Linked DNA regions of Arabidopsis thaliana. The protein of the gene in region 3 interacts with the protein of the main gene of each other region in a pairwise test. Each region holds a gene or a part of one and is shown on either strand. Other genes may lie near its edges.

What was found. Proteins that work in one complex are often made in the same cells at the same time.
Region 1: the proteins of AT2G36930 (region 3) and AT1G17970 interact in a two-hybrid assay, tested with the Arabidopsis thaliana proteins (one large-scale study listed by BioGRID).
Region 2: the proteins of AT2G36930 (region 3) and AT1G80400 interact in a two-hybrid assay, tested with the Arabidopsis thaliana proteins (one large-scale study listed by BioGRID).

Annotation. Positions count from the first base shown.
Region 1 is NC_003070.9:6,183,078-6,187,974, forward strand, and holds AT1G17970 (RING/U-box superfamily protein), read left to right. Parts: upstream 1-1,639; 5' UTR 1,640-1,954; coding exon 1,955-2,527; intron 2,528-3,093; coding exon 3,094-3,258; coding exon of another isoform or gene 3,259-3,330; exon of another isoform or gene 3,331-3,582; coding exon 3,583-3,681; intron 3,682-3,766; coding exon 3,767-3,901; intron 3,902-3,990; coding exon 3,991-4,125; 3' UTR 4,126-4,396; downstream 4,397-4,897. Other genes in the region: AT1G17960 (Threonyl-tRNA synthetase), read right to left, coding at 118-418, 530-660; PAPS1 (poly(A) polymerase 1), read right to left, coding at 4,665-4,704, 4,803-4,870.
Region 2 is NC_003070.9:30,223,522-30,228,076, forward strand, and holds AT1G80400 (RING/U-box superfamily protein), read left to right. Parts: upstream 1-1,654; 5' UTR 1,655-1,816; intron 1,817-2,196; 5' UTR 2,197-2,342; coding exon 2,343-2,995; intron 2,996-3,066; coding exon 3,067-3,192; intron 3,193-3,268; coding exon 3,269-3,548; intron 3,549-3,674; coding exon 3,675-3,839; 3' UTR 3,840-4,054; downstream 4,055-4,555. Other genes in the region: EMB2753 (tetratricopeptide repeat (TPR)-containing protein), read right to left, coding at 4,258-4,311, 4,454-4,555.
Region 3 is NC_003071.7:15,509,392-15,513,328, reverse strand, and holds AT2G36930 (zinc finger (C2H2 type) family protein), read left to right. Parts: upstream 1-1,721; 5' UTR 1,722-1,884; intron 1,885-1,965; 5' UTR 1,966-1,981; coding exon 1,982-2,172; intron 2,173-2,299; coding exon 2,300-2,362; intron 2,363-2,609; coding exon 2,610-2,786; intron 2,787-2,898; coding exon 2,899-2,961; intron 2,962-3,224; coding exon 3,225-3,327; 3' UTR 3,328-3,431; downstream 3,432-3,937. Other genes in the region: AT2G36920 (B3 domain protein), read right to left, coding at 3,841-3,937.

The sequences.
Region 1 (4,897 bases), on a different chromosome or scaffold from region 3:
TCTTTGCAACATTACAGATGAAATACCAAGAACCAAACAATATTGACTCCTCCTTTTTTTACTCTTTTAGCCAAAGAAACATAATTAAGGGGAAAAAACACAGAACAAAGCTCTTACTTCATCTCTGGGTTCGCAGGGTCCAATACATAGCTTGCATCCATACTCCTGCTCGAGAGCCTGGCCTAGAATGTGGGCGCTAGAATGCCAGAAAGTATTACGGCCTTGGTCGCTGTCAAATCCGAAAATCTCTAAGGAACAATCACCTTCCAGGGGCCTATTCATGTCCCACAAGACATGATTAACCGAAGAAACCAGAGCAGATTTTGCTAAACCCTTAGAAATCTGCACTGCGATGTCCATTGGAGAGGTCTCCCATCTCCTTCCTTCTTTCTCGATACCGTCGGGGAGAAGAGTAATCCTAAGCAGTGAAACAAAAACCAGAAATCAACTAATTGCAAAACCCTAGCTTAGCAAACAAATTGATGCACCCTAGTGAAAATGATGAACAATTAATCATAAACGTATTTACTTGATTGGATCGTGTGGCCGAGATTGAAGCTGCTCAAGCTGCTCGGCTTGGATTTCCTCGAAGAGCCTGATACGCTTGGGGATGACGGATGAGAGATAAGCCTCATCCTTGGGATGATGATTATTCGCCATCGATGGATGAGCAGAGAACGAAGGACAAATAGAAACTATAGAATATAGAAGATGACGTTGAGAGCAGAGGAGTAGATTATCCCAAGGTCAACTTCCCTTTTATAGCTACAACACTAAAGTGACTTGCGGGCCAAGCTTTAGAGCTTTTCCTTTCATTTTTTGTAATAAGGTAATAACAACAAGTGGCAGATGCACCTAACTTTACATAATTTCCTTTTGTATTTAAATAATTTTCTACAATATTTATAATTTCTTTTCAATTGAATTGTAGTTTTGTTGATAAAATGCAAATTAAAAGTATATGTATATAACCTATTTTGGCGTGACTTTCTTTGATTTAATGTTTCACATTTATATTTGTTGCATTCTCAATAATATCCAAATGACCATTATTAGGCCTATTAATGTGGAAGCTATAAAATCAGTTTGAAGTGGGCTTATTATTTGTAGTTTTGGGCTCTTAAAAGCCTATTAATGATGAAGCTAGAATCAGTTTTGCAACGTTCTCGGATGGTTTCGTGTTACAAAAATGTAGTCGGGTTCGATTTGGTTGAACCGGGTCTGGTAGACAATAATGTAATATTGGAAAGGAAAACGGTTCAGGCTTCGTGGCGATGAGCATCAACCATCAAGGCTTTGCTGGATGTCTTCAAAGCTCAAGAGTGCCAACTTTATGTATACGAGGATTGTTCAAATATTAAAACCAACCAAAGAAGTGGTCTTTTGATGTTTAAGCTTATCGTAGGATGTTTCAGCTGGACTTTGTGTCTCTTCTTTATCTCTACCAAAATAATATCTAATCACTCTCTCTCTTTTTATTTATTTAACAAGATTGTTTCGACTTAAAAGAGTCATGTAGTGACTGACACCTTTCCTATTTTTACAAGCAAGCATCATTTTAAAAATTTTAAAATTTACTTTTCTGGAATAGAAAAACCAAAAATAAGCAAAATCATTAAACTAAATTGCCCAAAAAAAGTTAAAAACCCAGAGAAATACTCAAATTAACCTAAACAATATCTCTTATAAAATCATTATTTCTAATTTGGTAGTATTCACAAAAGATATGCATGAGCTGATTTTGTTTGGAATCTCATACTAATGGTTGCATGTAAAAACAAAAACTAAAAAATCTTTAATAGTATTATATAGGAAAAGCTATAATCATTATACAAAAACTGTATCATCATCATCATCAAGCTTGAAATCACTCTCTTTCATCCTTCCCCGCGCACTGTGTCTCGCTCTCTCTCTCCCACATTTCCATTATCTCCTTTACTTTCTTTCTTTGAGAATGTCTTCTACAACAATCGGCGAGCACATCAGACTCCGACGAGCTAGAAACCAAACAATCCGTCATCTCCACGCCGCCGACGATGATCCGCCGCTAAGCCACGTCGTTCTTCCGATTTCACAACCTAATCGCTTCTGTAACTCCGCAATGTCTTCCTTCTTTCCCCTCCCGACTTCCTCCTCCAACGAAAGCACGAGGAAGAAACCGTACCAAACGTCGTCGTTTCGAGGGATGGGTTGCTATGCCGCAGCAGCAGCAGCAGCTCAAGAGGTTTCTGTTCCCTCCGTCATTCGCTACTCCGCGGATTTGGATGCCAGAATTAGAAAAGATAAGAAGAAGAAGAAGCATAAGCATAAGAAAAAGAAAAAGAAGAATAAAGGAAGCTACGAAGATGGTTCGATTAGGATTTTAAGCGAAGAAGCTAGAGACGTTATTGATGTTTGGTGCAGACCTGGATTAGGCTTCTCCACGGATGCTGTAATTGGTCGATCGGTTGATCCTCCTCGGGGAAGGAATATTCCGTCGTCTCGTCGCAAAATTGATGTGGATAACAACAATTATAATCACACACTGGTAAATTGATCTAAAGTTGGATGATGAATTTAGTGTTATTATGTTATTGACTTTGACTTTGAGGAAATGGTATCGTTTAGGCAGAAACTGTGTGGAGTGGTTGGAGCTCTAGTGGTTGTAGTTAGCTCTATGCCAATTGCTGGGCCATTGTTAGTTTGGTTTGGTTTATTAATATATGTGTTTGGATTCTCGTTTAGACAAATCATAAGGGTCTACTTTAGATGTAGCGGTTCTCTATTATTAGTTTTTGTTTCATGTGAGGATAATATAGAAAATTTCTTTGTTTGACGTGCGGGTGGTTCTTTTGGGTTTGATGCTCAATAAACTAATCGAACTCTGGTTTGGTTAGAGAATGGAATCTTATCATGCTTTTGTCTCGTTTAGCTAGAGGATGGAATCTTAGCATTGTTTAAGTTTCTTTTTGGTTGGATTCAATTGGTTAGGGGAGTTGTTGGATTTATTTTGATCAAAGAAACGCATTGCTTCAGAGGACTTGAAAATTAGGAATCTATCATCATGTCTAAGTGTTTGAGAAATGATAACACAATGCTACAAATGTTCTGCAGGGTTCTTCTGTTCTTCCCATTCGGTTTCTCAATCAAGAAACTCATTCTCATGATATCTTCAACTCTGATTCTACTTTTGTGACATCATCACGCGCTGAACCAACGATGTTGTCAAGTAGATGTCGTGGCCATCTTCCACGCTCTTACCCTGATGATCTTACCGAGGTAGAATGTTCTTGCCAAATAGTTGCCTTGTCTTTCTTGCATCTGGTAAATGTTATAGATTTGACTTCTTAGTTTATTAACTGATCACACTCAACACTATGTTAAGGTTTGACTTGTCACTTGGCTTCATATCAACTAAGAGATTATTCTAGAGTTGTCTCTTACATATTCTAGTGACTGATAGAGTGGAAGACAAATAATGTAATCGTTCTCTTTGGTGCTGTATGGTGCTGTAAAACTGTTTTGGATGGCTAATAGCAAGTGAGCAAGTTAAAGAACTAAACCATGCAGCTAGTGTAGTCATGTTCCTGCTGTTCACTGCAGATGAGGATGCTCCAGAATGGTTTTGTAATGGGAAGAATAACAGATTCCCGTGATAACTACCACGAATTGAGGCTCGATGTTGATAGCATGTCATACGAGGTATGTTTTTCAAAATCTCATGAGAAAAACACTTGCAATCTCATCTTCTCAACTTTATCGAGTGTGTTTGCTTTGGTCTACGCAGCAACTTCTTGAGCTTGGTGATAGAATTGGTTATGTGAATACTGGACTAAAAGAAAGCGAGATACATCGTTGTCTTGGGAAAATCAAACCATCCGTATCACATACTCTTGTTGATAGAAAATGTAGCATCTGTCAGGTAAACTCCAGATTGAGTCAATGGCTTCTCGAAACTTCAGACAGATCATGAGTTTCATAATGCTATTCCTTATTGTTTGATGGTGACAGGATGAGTATGAGAGAGAGGATGAGGTTGGGGAATTGAACTGTGGACACAGCTTTCATGTCCATTGCGTGAAACAATGGCTTTCGAGGAAGAATGCTTGTCCGGTCTGTAAGAAGGCAGCATATGGCAAGCCTTAAAAGACTTTTGTATCTCGTCGGGTTTCTGATAGCTCAAGATCTTTCAAGCCACCTTGCTGTATAGAGATCTGTATCATCTGATACTTGATTCATATTTGTTGTTTTTGCATTTAGCAATCACAATTTTTTTTTTTTAAGATCTTATATTCTTTGTTGGGTCTATTTATGTGATTGAAATCAAGAGTTTGAAATCTATGTTTTCTGTTGCCTAGGTAGATTTAAGACAGGTAGAGAGTAATTTAGCATATAGCATACACGCACGTAACTAAGAATCAATGTTTTAACGTTTGAGTCTGCATTTATATATATATGTGAAGTAAACTCAACCCAGACTTTTATTTATGACAGAAAAAGTGTTTGGGATCCATAGACAAGAACACATTACATTAATCTTATCCAAACGAGTTTTACATGAGATCATGCAACATCTAAGAAAAGCATATAAATATAAGACATAAAGTAACAAGAACCCCTCAACTTAACATCTCGAATTTCCGTAAGTGCTCTGAGATTCTTGGCAATGTAGGGAAAAGCCATTATTACTTGCCATTGGTTTTGCCTAGAGACGTGAAGCTCAATCTGCGAATAATCAGACAAACAAAAACAAACAATCTTTGTCAAAATCCAAAAATGTATATTCAAACGTTAAGAGTAAACATAGACACAAAATCACTTACTTGATTATCGGTTTTCGCTGTTGTACTGAAGGTCTATGTGCCGCATCGGGCTGTCGCGTGGGAAGAACCTTTCAACAAAAGAGAAATCAGACAGG
Region 2 (4,555 bases), on a different chromosome or scaffold from region 3:
TGGTAAAAAAGTTTCACCATTATATATGTACATCAACTTTCACTGTCGTCGGTCGAAAACAAATCATGGTCTAACAATATATTCCTAATTATCTATCATCGTACACTACACACTAATTAGGTACAATACTTCTTCATTAGTTTAATCTTTCACCGAATATCAGAAGAAATCCCAACTAATATGCGTGTGGATCTTGTAAACAATGAAAAGAATGTTCCCACCAAAAAAACAATGTGAACAGAACTAAATGTTGAAACTTCTACTTCAAAATTGAAATAAAATCTAAAATAAAATATATAATGAACATCAATCATTGTATAAAAGCGATTAAAAGTTTCATGATTTGGGATAAAAAAAGTTAGAGATAGATAACTATCCCTTTTTTAGTGAACAAGTATAAAGTTTTTACTGAAAAGTTTTTCAGTGTCCGGTATTAATTTCATATTAGTCATATTATTTACATGCAATATGAAATGAGATGTCAAAAAAGTTTAGACAAAGGAAAAGAGCAGAACATTAATTACAGCAGCGTAGGGTCACATGCGTAAGTCACGTGACTCTGTTTTTCGTTGGGGAACATAGAATCATAAATGATTTTTTCGATGGTTCACGACACTATTCTTAGACCAATAAGGGCAATAAGAGTTAAACCAGGGGCTAATAGGTCCTACTGGCGACACATAGACGAATTTACCGGTTTCGATTACAAACCCGTGACCGGTAATTCCGGTCAGCCATTGTTTTCTAAGTTTGTTTTCTTTCGTTATAATGCGCATGGAATGAAACAGTCGTATAATTCATTTAACTCGACTCGTAACAAAATATGTGAGATAATAATAAGAAGTACATAAATTTGGTAGCTAGTATTTAATGTTAATTGATACTTTTTGTCTCAAATAATCGAAACTGCTTTTAGGCTCTAGAAAACTGATATTGATGTCTTGGACATTTACTTGGGTATAATAAATTGCGATAACATAATAGAGCGGTCCGAGACTTAGAGAATTACGAAACCAGTAAATTCTATACAGATTGTTTATCCAATTAAGCCCAAACCAATCCAGGTTTCCTACAGTGGGTCAAGAATACATCATGGCAGATTTGATACATCATAATGCCATTATGGTATCAAGCCCAAAATAAGCCCAGTTATTTTTTCTTTCTTTTGTTGTCATTCCATAAAAATCTACATAACGGAATCCAGAATTTGATTAAGATCTTATTCCGTTATGTTCCAGATAATTAGAGTGTCATATCTCTATAATGAACTTCATATTAAATTTCTTTGTCTTAACATGCATTAGAAAAAAGGGTTTAAAACTCTATTAAGAACTAAATATATCAATAACATTTACAGTATAATTTTAAAATTTAGAATGACAAAAGAAACATTATAGAATTTTAAGAAATGATTTGGGAATAGACAAATCAATAAACCTCAGACTATTATGAGATTTGTTTTTGTCTGGAAGGAAATTGCTTAATCAGGTAATAAACTCAACAAAGCACCTTCTAAACAAGGAGTCATCCACGACCGTCCGATCAGATTAGTACATAGAAACCCTTAAGATCCAACGGTTAAAGATTTAAGACAGAAGGACGAAATCTGTAATCATGAGTTTAGTAAAAAACTAATAAATCAATCAGTCTTCTCCCTATTTACTGCAACTCTGCGAAAGCTGCAAAAATAAAATCAGCCGATTCCTATTTTTTTATTTGTCTTCCTGTGAAGAATGAAAAAGAAGAAGAGTACAACAAGTACTAAGAAGACGAAGAAGGTTTCAACAATAGCTTATTCGCAGCTTTTCCAATTCTGGTAAAAAGGCTTCATTACCATTTTATCGTCTACTCTTCTTCTTCTTCCTGTTTTCGATCTTCTGTCTTTTTCGGTAATTTCCGAATTTGTGTTTCAAGACCGTATCATCTTATGCTACGATTGAATTTGTTGGAATTCCAGTTTTGGGTTCTTCACCAAGCTCAGAATTTCAAACTGTCAGAATTGTTTGAAAGAGTCAAACTTGAACTGGGATTTTTTTTGACTTAGGGTTCGTCAGATGTTGGATTTGTTAATCCTTGCAGAGTCGTTTAAGGGGTTTACAAAATGCTTTATTTATAATCCTAAAAGCTATCTACTTTCTGATTTTTTTCCCCCAGTTCTTGGTTTGAATTCTAAAGCTGTTTCCTGTGCTATAACAGGTGAGTGTTTCGCACTACATTGCTCTTGCTCTACTGGAGATTGCGGTTGTGTGTTACGAGAGCTAGAGTTGAATTTGCTTTGGTCAACACAATGGGGACTTGTGGTTGCTGACTTTTGTGATTTTCAGTTTTCTACTTGGATTTAGATGGATGTTTCTTCCATTGTGCGAAATACAACCCTAACTGATCAAGATCCTTTGTTAATGGACCACGGTAACCGCGAGCACATCGTTGACATTACAAGCAATGACGAGGAGGACTCTTCATCAAGATCTTCTCTCGATGAGCTTACTCCTCAAGGTAACTCACATCAAGGTGAAGAGACAGTATTATCATCATCAAATGCTACACAACAACACCCAACTCATCCATCTCCTCCTCAGCAAAGACCAACTTCTTCTAGGAGAGGAGATAACGGGAATGGTCGCCGTACTAGGAGTCCATTGAATTCTGGCCTCTGGATCTCAGTTGAGTTAGTTGTCACTGTCGCTCAGATTGTTGCAGCCATTGTAGTTATGGTTCTGGCTAAAGATGAACATCCTGAAGCGCCATTATTTACTTGGGTTATTGGATATACTTGTGGCTGTCTAGCCACTCTCCCTATTCTCTATTGGCGTTTTCGCACTTATAATCGAGCTACAGGGCAAGACTCTTCACAACGTGCTACCTCTTCTCAAGGCAATAGTGAGTCCACACCATATACAGCAGTCTCAGTTGCTCAAGCAGCAGATGAAGAAAATAGCACTGGCGTGAGTGCAGCACCTAGAAACAATCAAGTTGGGGAAAGCTTAAGAACAAGGTAAGTCTAATTACTTTGTTTGGCCTCAATTAATTTGGGTTGGTTAGTTAACAATTGTTAATGACTGGCAGGCTCAACGGGCTAGTGGACCACTTCAAGATGGCGATTGATTGTTTCTTTGCGGTGTGGTTTGTTGTGGGGAATGTATGGATATTTGGAGGTCACTCATCTCCTTCTGATTCTCCTAAACTGTACAGGTACACGCCTTCGACTTCATCCGCTATTATGTCCCAATGAGGAACTGAAATTCTAACACTCATGTTTTTCTTGCAGGTTATGCATAGCGTTCCTTACTTTCAGTTGCATTGGATATGCAATGCCATTCATACTATGTGCAACCATATGTTGTTGTTTGCCTTGCTTAATCTCGGTTCTCGGATTTCGAGAGAACTTCTCACAAACTAGAGGAGCCACTGCCGAGGCCATCAACGCATTGCCTGTCTACAGGTTCAAATCAAAAAGTAGAAATGATTTGGAGTTTTCAGAAGAAGGTGAAGGTGGATTTCTTCTCTTGGGGTCTCAGAAGAAACGTCTTATATCAGGCGAGGATGCCGTAAGTCAATACCCTTAGTTCCGCCATGAATTCATTTGAATTAGTTGGTTAATACAATTGTGTACAGAAGTTCAGTGCAACTGTTAACTATTGTCTGCATTTCTTGGATAAATATTGGTTTTGCAGAGCTGTTGCATCTGCTTGACTAGATATGGAGACGACGAACAAGTTAGAGAGCTGCCATGCTCACATGTCTTCCATGTAGACTGTGTAGACAAATGGCTTAAAATCAATGCGACTTGCCCTCTCTGCAAAAATGAGGTTGGAGAAAGCAGCAGTGCTTCCTCATAGACAAAAGCTGAGTTGATCGCAACTGTTTGGAATTTGGGATCCATAGTCTGTGACGTGTATAGACTTAAGACTTGTATAGTTGAGATGTTGTTTATTCATTTTGTCTTTCCAAATCAATAAATTTCGAAATAAAGTTGTTATGTATATGAGAGAACTATATAAGAAAAAGATGTAACGTCTCACTCAAAGGTAGGCTCGTCAAATCAAAATTTTCCAGAGATGTCAAGAAGCTTAAACATTGTAATGGAGAAAATAAATAATGTGGAGAAACCGAAAAAAGAAGGAGATAAAAGGGTACAACATCAGAGAAATCCTCTTTAAAGTGTGGAGAGAACAAAACGAAAAAAAACAAGAAAAAAAAAAAGACAAGACCCCTCTCTTTTTTTGTGGCATTGTTCTTCAAACTTGAAACCCAGCCTTATATAGAAAAACAATTATACACATTTGGCATGTTACAACTCCAAAACATTTTCTGATCCACACACCTCGGGGAAAGATTCATTAAATCTCAAGTTTGATCCGGGTCTGTAGGAACAGATCTTCCATCTTCTGTAAATTATCTCCTGGGTTGATTTGCTTCTTATTGATAGCTAAGAGGGTTTTCAGGTTGCAACTGAGAGGCTCTTGAATGCTTCGAGTTGTCCGTCGCTCAATTCAGTCTGACCCATTGGATGGTTTGGCGTGTCACCGTTCTCATTGCTCTTGCGGGATGAGTT
Region 3 (3,937 bases):
TTCGTAAAGTTAACGATCACAATGACCACAAACTTCAACGTACGTAAGTTTGTGTTTGTATTTTGAAAATCGATGTTTGGATCTTTTGAAACGTTTTGTTCAGTAATTTGGAAGTTTAGGGTAGAAATGGTCACTTATTATATGTAGCTAAATACGATTTCAACACATACAAACTACAAAGATTTGTTTTCGTGTTCCACAGTGTAACACGTCAGGCTGACTTGGATAATTTTAACTAACTTTACCAAGGTTAATATAAAACATAATCACTAATTGCAACATAAATAGACCATTTTAATTTCAGGTTGCAATTAGAGATTATGGTATACACAGCCACACAAAATCAAGAAAAATATGGCAACAGAAAATCGTCTCGTTTCAACCCTTTAAGTAGTTTCATCCATCCATATGGTGCCATTTTAAGTACACATGCAAGTCACCATTTTTCCTCATATTTTTTTGGCAAGTCTCATTGCTCGCCTCTCGTTGTAGCTTACAAAAATGACCATTCAATATGGTTATAAACCATCTTCATGCGACTGGCAAAAAAAAAAAAAAAAAAAAACCATCTTCATGCATGTCAGTTTTTTGTTGCTAGAAAGTTCGCCGTACATATTTGTCTCTCATGTAAAGGTGAAAATGGCTGTAACATGGATTAAACTATTAAAGATTCATTTTATGAAATATAATTTCCATTCATTTTGCTAGGAAATAATGAGGAAAGAACAAATTAAAAGAAATTTGTGTTCATCACAAAACGATAGCAATGTTTACGGAATGGAACCTAAAAGTAAACTACAGTTAGAAAGTGAAAGAAAATAAGATAATCAAAATGATATACAGTAACTTGGTCTTAGGAGTCTAAAGAGTAAAATCTATCTGATAATTAAGACAACATGAAAAAGATGGGCTATAGAAACGTTTTGAAATCAAGTTTAGTGGGGGCAGAGACAAAGTAGAACCAACTCATCAAGAACTCAATTTTAAACATCTAAATGGATCTCCATGCAACATTATTACACTAATAAATAATATGAAAAGTTTGGATTTGGTACCGGTCTGTTTCACTATCATTGTTACAATTATTGTATTCCTCGGCAGGAGCACCTTAGTTTATTAGAACAATTAGACCCCATTGACGAACCAATATGGTGTAGAAGTATCTGGAAAGAAAAAAGGAACGTCCCACATTTCAAACAAATCTTGCTAACCACGTATTATCTAGCTGGAGGAATGAGAATGACACATTGTCCTTGCTCTAGATGTAAATCCACATAACATAAGTAGGATCGGTTCTATTAAAACATTAATTGGAAAGCATTTCAAACTCGGGATAGTAAGTGTGGTGGAGACATGACGTATTGGTGACAAAAAAAATTATAGAGAGAAGAAACAAGCTTCAAACCCTCCCCAAGACAACAAAACCATCATTGTGGGGAGCATTAAGAGTATGCAACGCAAAGAGGCCTTTCATTCCCTTGCTCTCTCCACTTCTAAGAATTTATTGGTTTCTTGTTATACTAATAAATTAATGGAACCCTAAAAACAAGGTTATGAGATTTATCAGTAAACCTACGCTTCTGTCACTAATTCGGTCCAAGTACATTGCTAGAACTCTGTGACTTATCTTACAATGCTATTTCAGAATAATTTCAGACTAGATCTTAATTGGTTCCGTATGTATTACTGATTTCCAAATCATTAATTATTAATGGGCCTATCTAAGCCTGTTTAATAAATGGGCCTTGCGTCAAAGTCTCCATCACTGAAACCGCCCTTTTTAGGTTAATCAATACTTTATAACCGAAACTGATATTTTTTCTAGGGTTTCCTCTTCCGCATTCGTCGTCTTCAGCTCCTCCTACACAGTTTCTTCTCTGAATCGTAAGTTTTGAATTAATCTGCAAATTCGTTTAGATTCTTATCAATTAGTCACTAATTTTTCAATTGATGATTCGATCTCAGTACTTAGGAAGCTAAAATGGGTAGATGTCCGACTAGAAAAGTGAAGAAGAGGAGATTATCTCACAAAACAGCTCGCCGTGACAAATTCGAAGTCAAAGGCGATGACTTGGTTTACACAGAGTTGCGTAAACCGGAGACGGAGATTAAGCCGTTACAGCTTGACGAGGATTTGCCTGGAATGGGTCAATTCTACTGCTTACACTGCGAGTAAGAGAGATTCTATGATTACTCTATTGACGATTCTTTTGGTTTATGAAACTTTTTTTTAGCAAATACATTATCTTTGAATTACTCTATATGACCCATTTGTTTGTTTTACCTTGATATGTTTTAGTCGATACTTCTCCAACGTATCAGTGAGGGATGATCATTTCAAGACTAAGAAACACAAGAAGCGGTATGTGGATTCTTCTCCTTCCTTGGCCTTGGTTTCTATTTTGTTTTGTGTTCTTGGAACTGTGTTTGGTTCTTGTGCTCGTTTACTTTCTTGCTTGCAATGTTAAAGCTATTTCTCTTCACTTCTGTGTACCTAAAGATGTTTTAGCATTTGTAATTTGATTACCTTTGTATGATTATACATGTCTGTTGCAGTGTTGCTCTGTACTCAAGACTTATTATATGTGTTTTGTCCACTTGGATTGCAGTGTGAATATGATGATGGGACAAGCGCCACACTCGCAACTCGATGCAGATTTAGCCGGGGGAATGGGGATGCCGGACAATGGCCCAAAGCTGATGTCTAATTTGGTATTCACAGAGTTGCGTAAACCAGAGACGGAGGATTTACCTGGAATGGGTCAATTCAACTGCTTACTCTGCCAGTAAGATTATATGTGCAAAAAGACAATCTTTGAATTACTCTAGATTTCCATGTTTGTGTGAACATTTGTTTGTATTTGATTGACCTTGTCTCTCTACCTTGATATTTTTCAGTCGGAACTTCTCCAATGCATCAGTGATGGATTATCATTTCAAGACTAAGAAACACAAAAAGCGGTATGTGGATTCTTCTTCCTTGGTCTTGGTTTCTATCTTGTTTTGATCTTGGAACTGTGTTTGGTTCTTGTGCTCGTCTACTTTGAATTCATCTTGCTGGCAATGTTAAAGCTATTTCTCGTCACTGGCGTAGCTAAAAATGTTTTAGCACTTGTAACTTGATTACCTCTGTATGATTATATTATTGATCTATGCATGTCTGTTGCTCTGTACTCAGACTTAATATCTTTCTATTGTCCATTTGGATTTTTGTGTGATTGCAGTGTGAAGAAGATAGAGCGACCAGCGCCACACTCGCAACTCGATGCAGATTTAGCTGGTGGAATGGGAATGCCAGACAATGGTCCAAAGCTGATGTCTGCCTGAGTTTTTACAGTTATTTTCCTTATTTAGTTAATGGAACCCGAAATTTTGTTGTAAAACTATAATCTCCTAAATTAATGATACAGGTTTTTTGTCTGTTGCCAAGTATCTATCATGCAGTTACTGGTTTAGCTTCACTTAGAAGTTTAAATCTGATAAATCATATATTGTTTGTGTTGGTTGCATAAAAAACTTAACCATATAAGCCATACCAATCGTTGTTTTGACAAAATAGAAAGAACAAAACACTAGCTCTCTCAGCTGCTGATATGCGTTTGTAATTGAGATCACATTATGCAGACCTTGTTCTCTTCCGGGGAACTATTGCCTTTCCACGAGCAATCACGCCAAAGTGAAGCCTAGAAGCAGAAGAATCCCATAAGAGTCCTATATCGTCTCTTTCTTTCAAACTTCTCCTTTTGGATAAAATCTTCCAGCCAGTCACCCGTTAGAACATAGGTATATTGTACTGCCAGACGCAGCTCATGCATTGTGCTCGTGTCGTTGTCCTATACCTTAACAATGAGTCCGCTTTTGCAAATCAGCTTCAGGCAGATGTCCTCGAATCTGCTGTTCGAAGAAGCTTCTGGGCAGACGAAGTTGGCCATAAGTA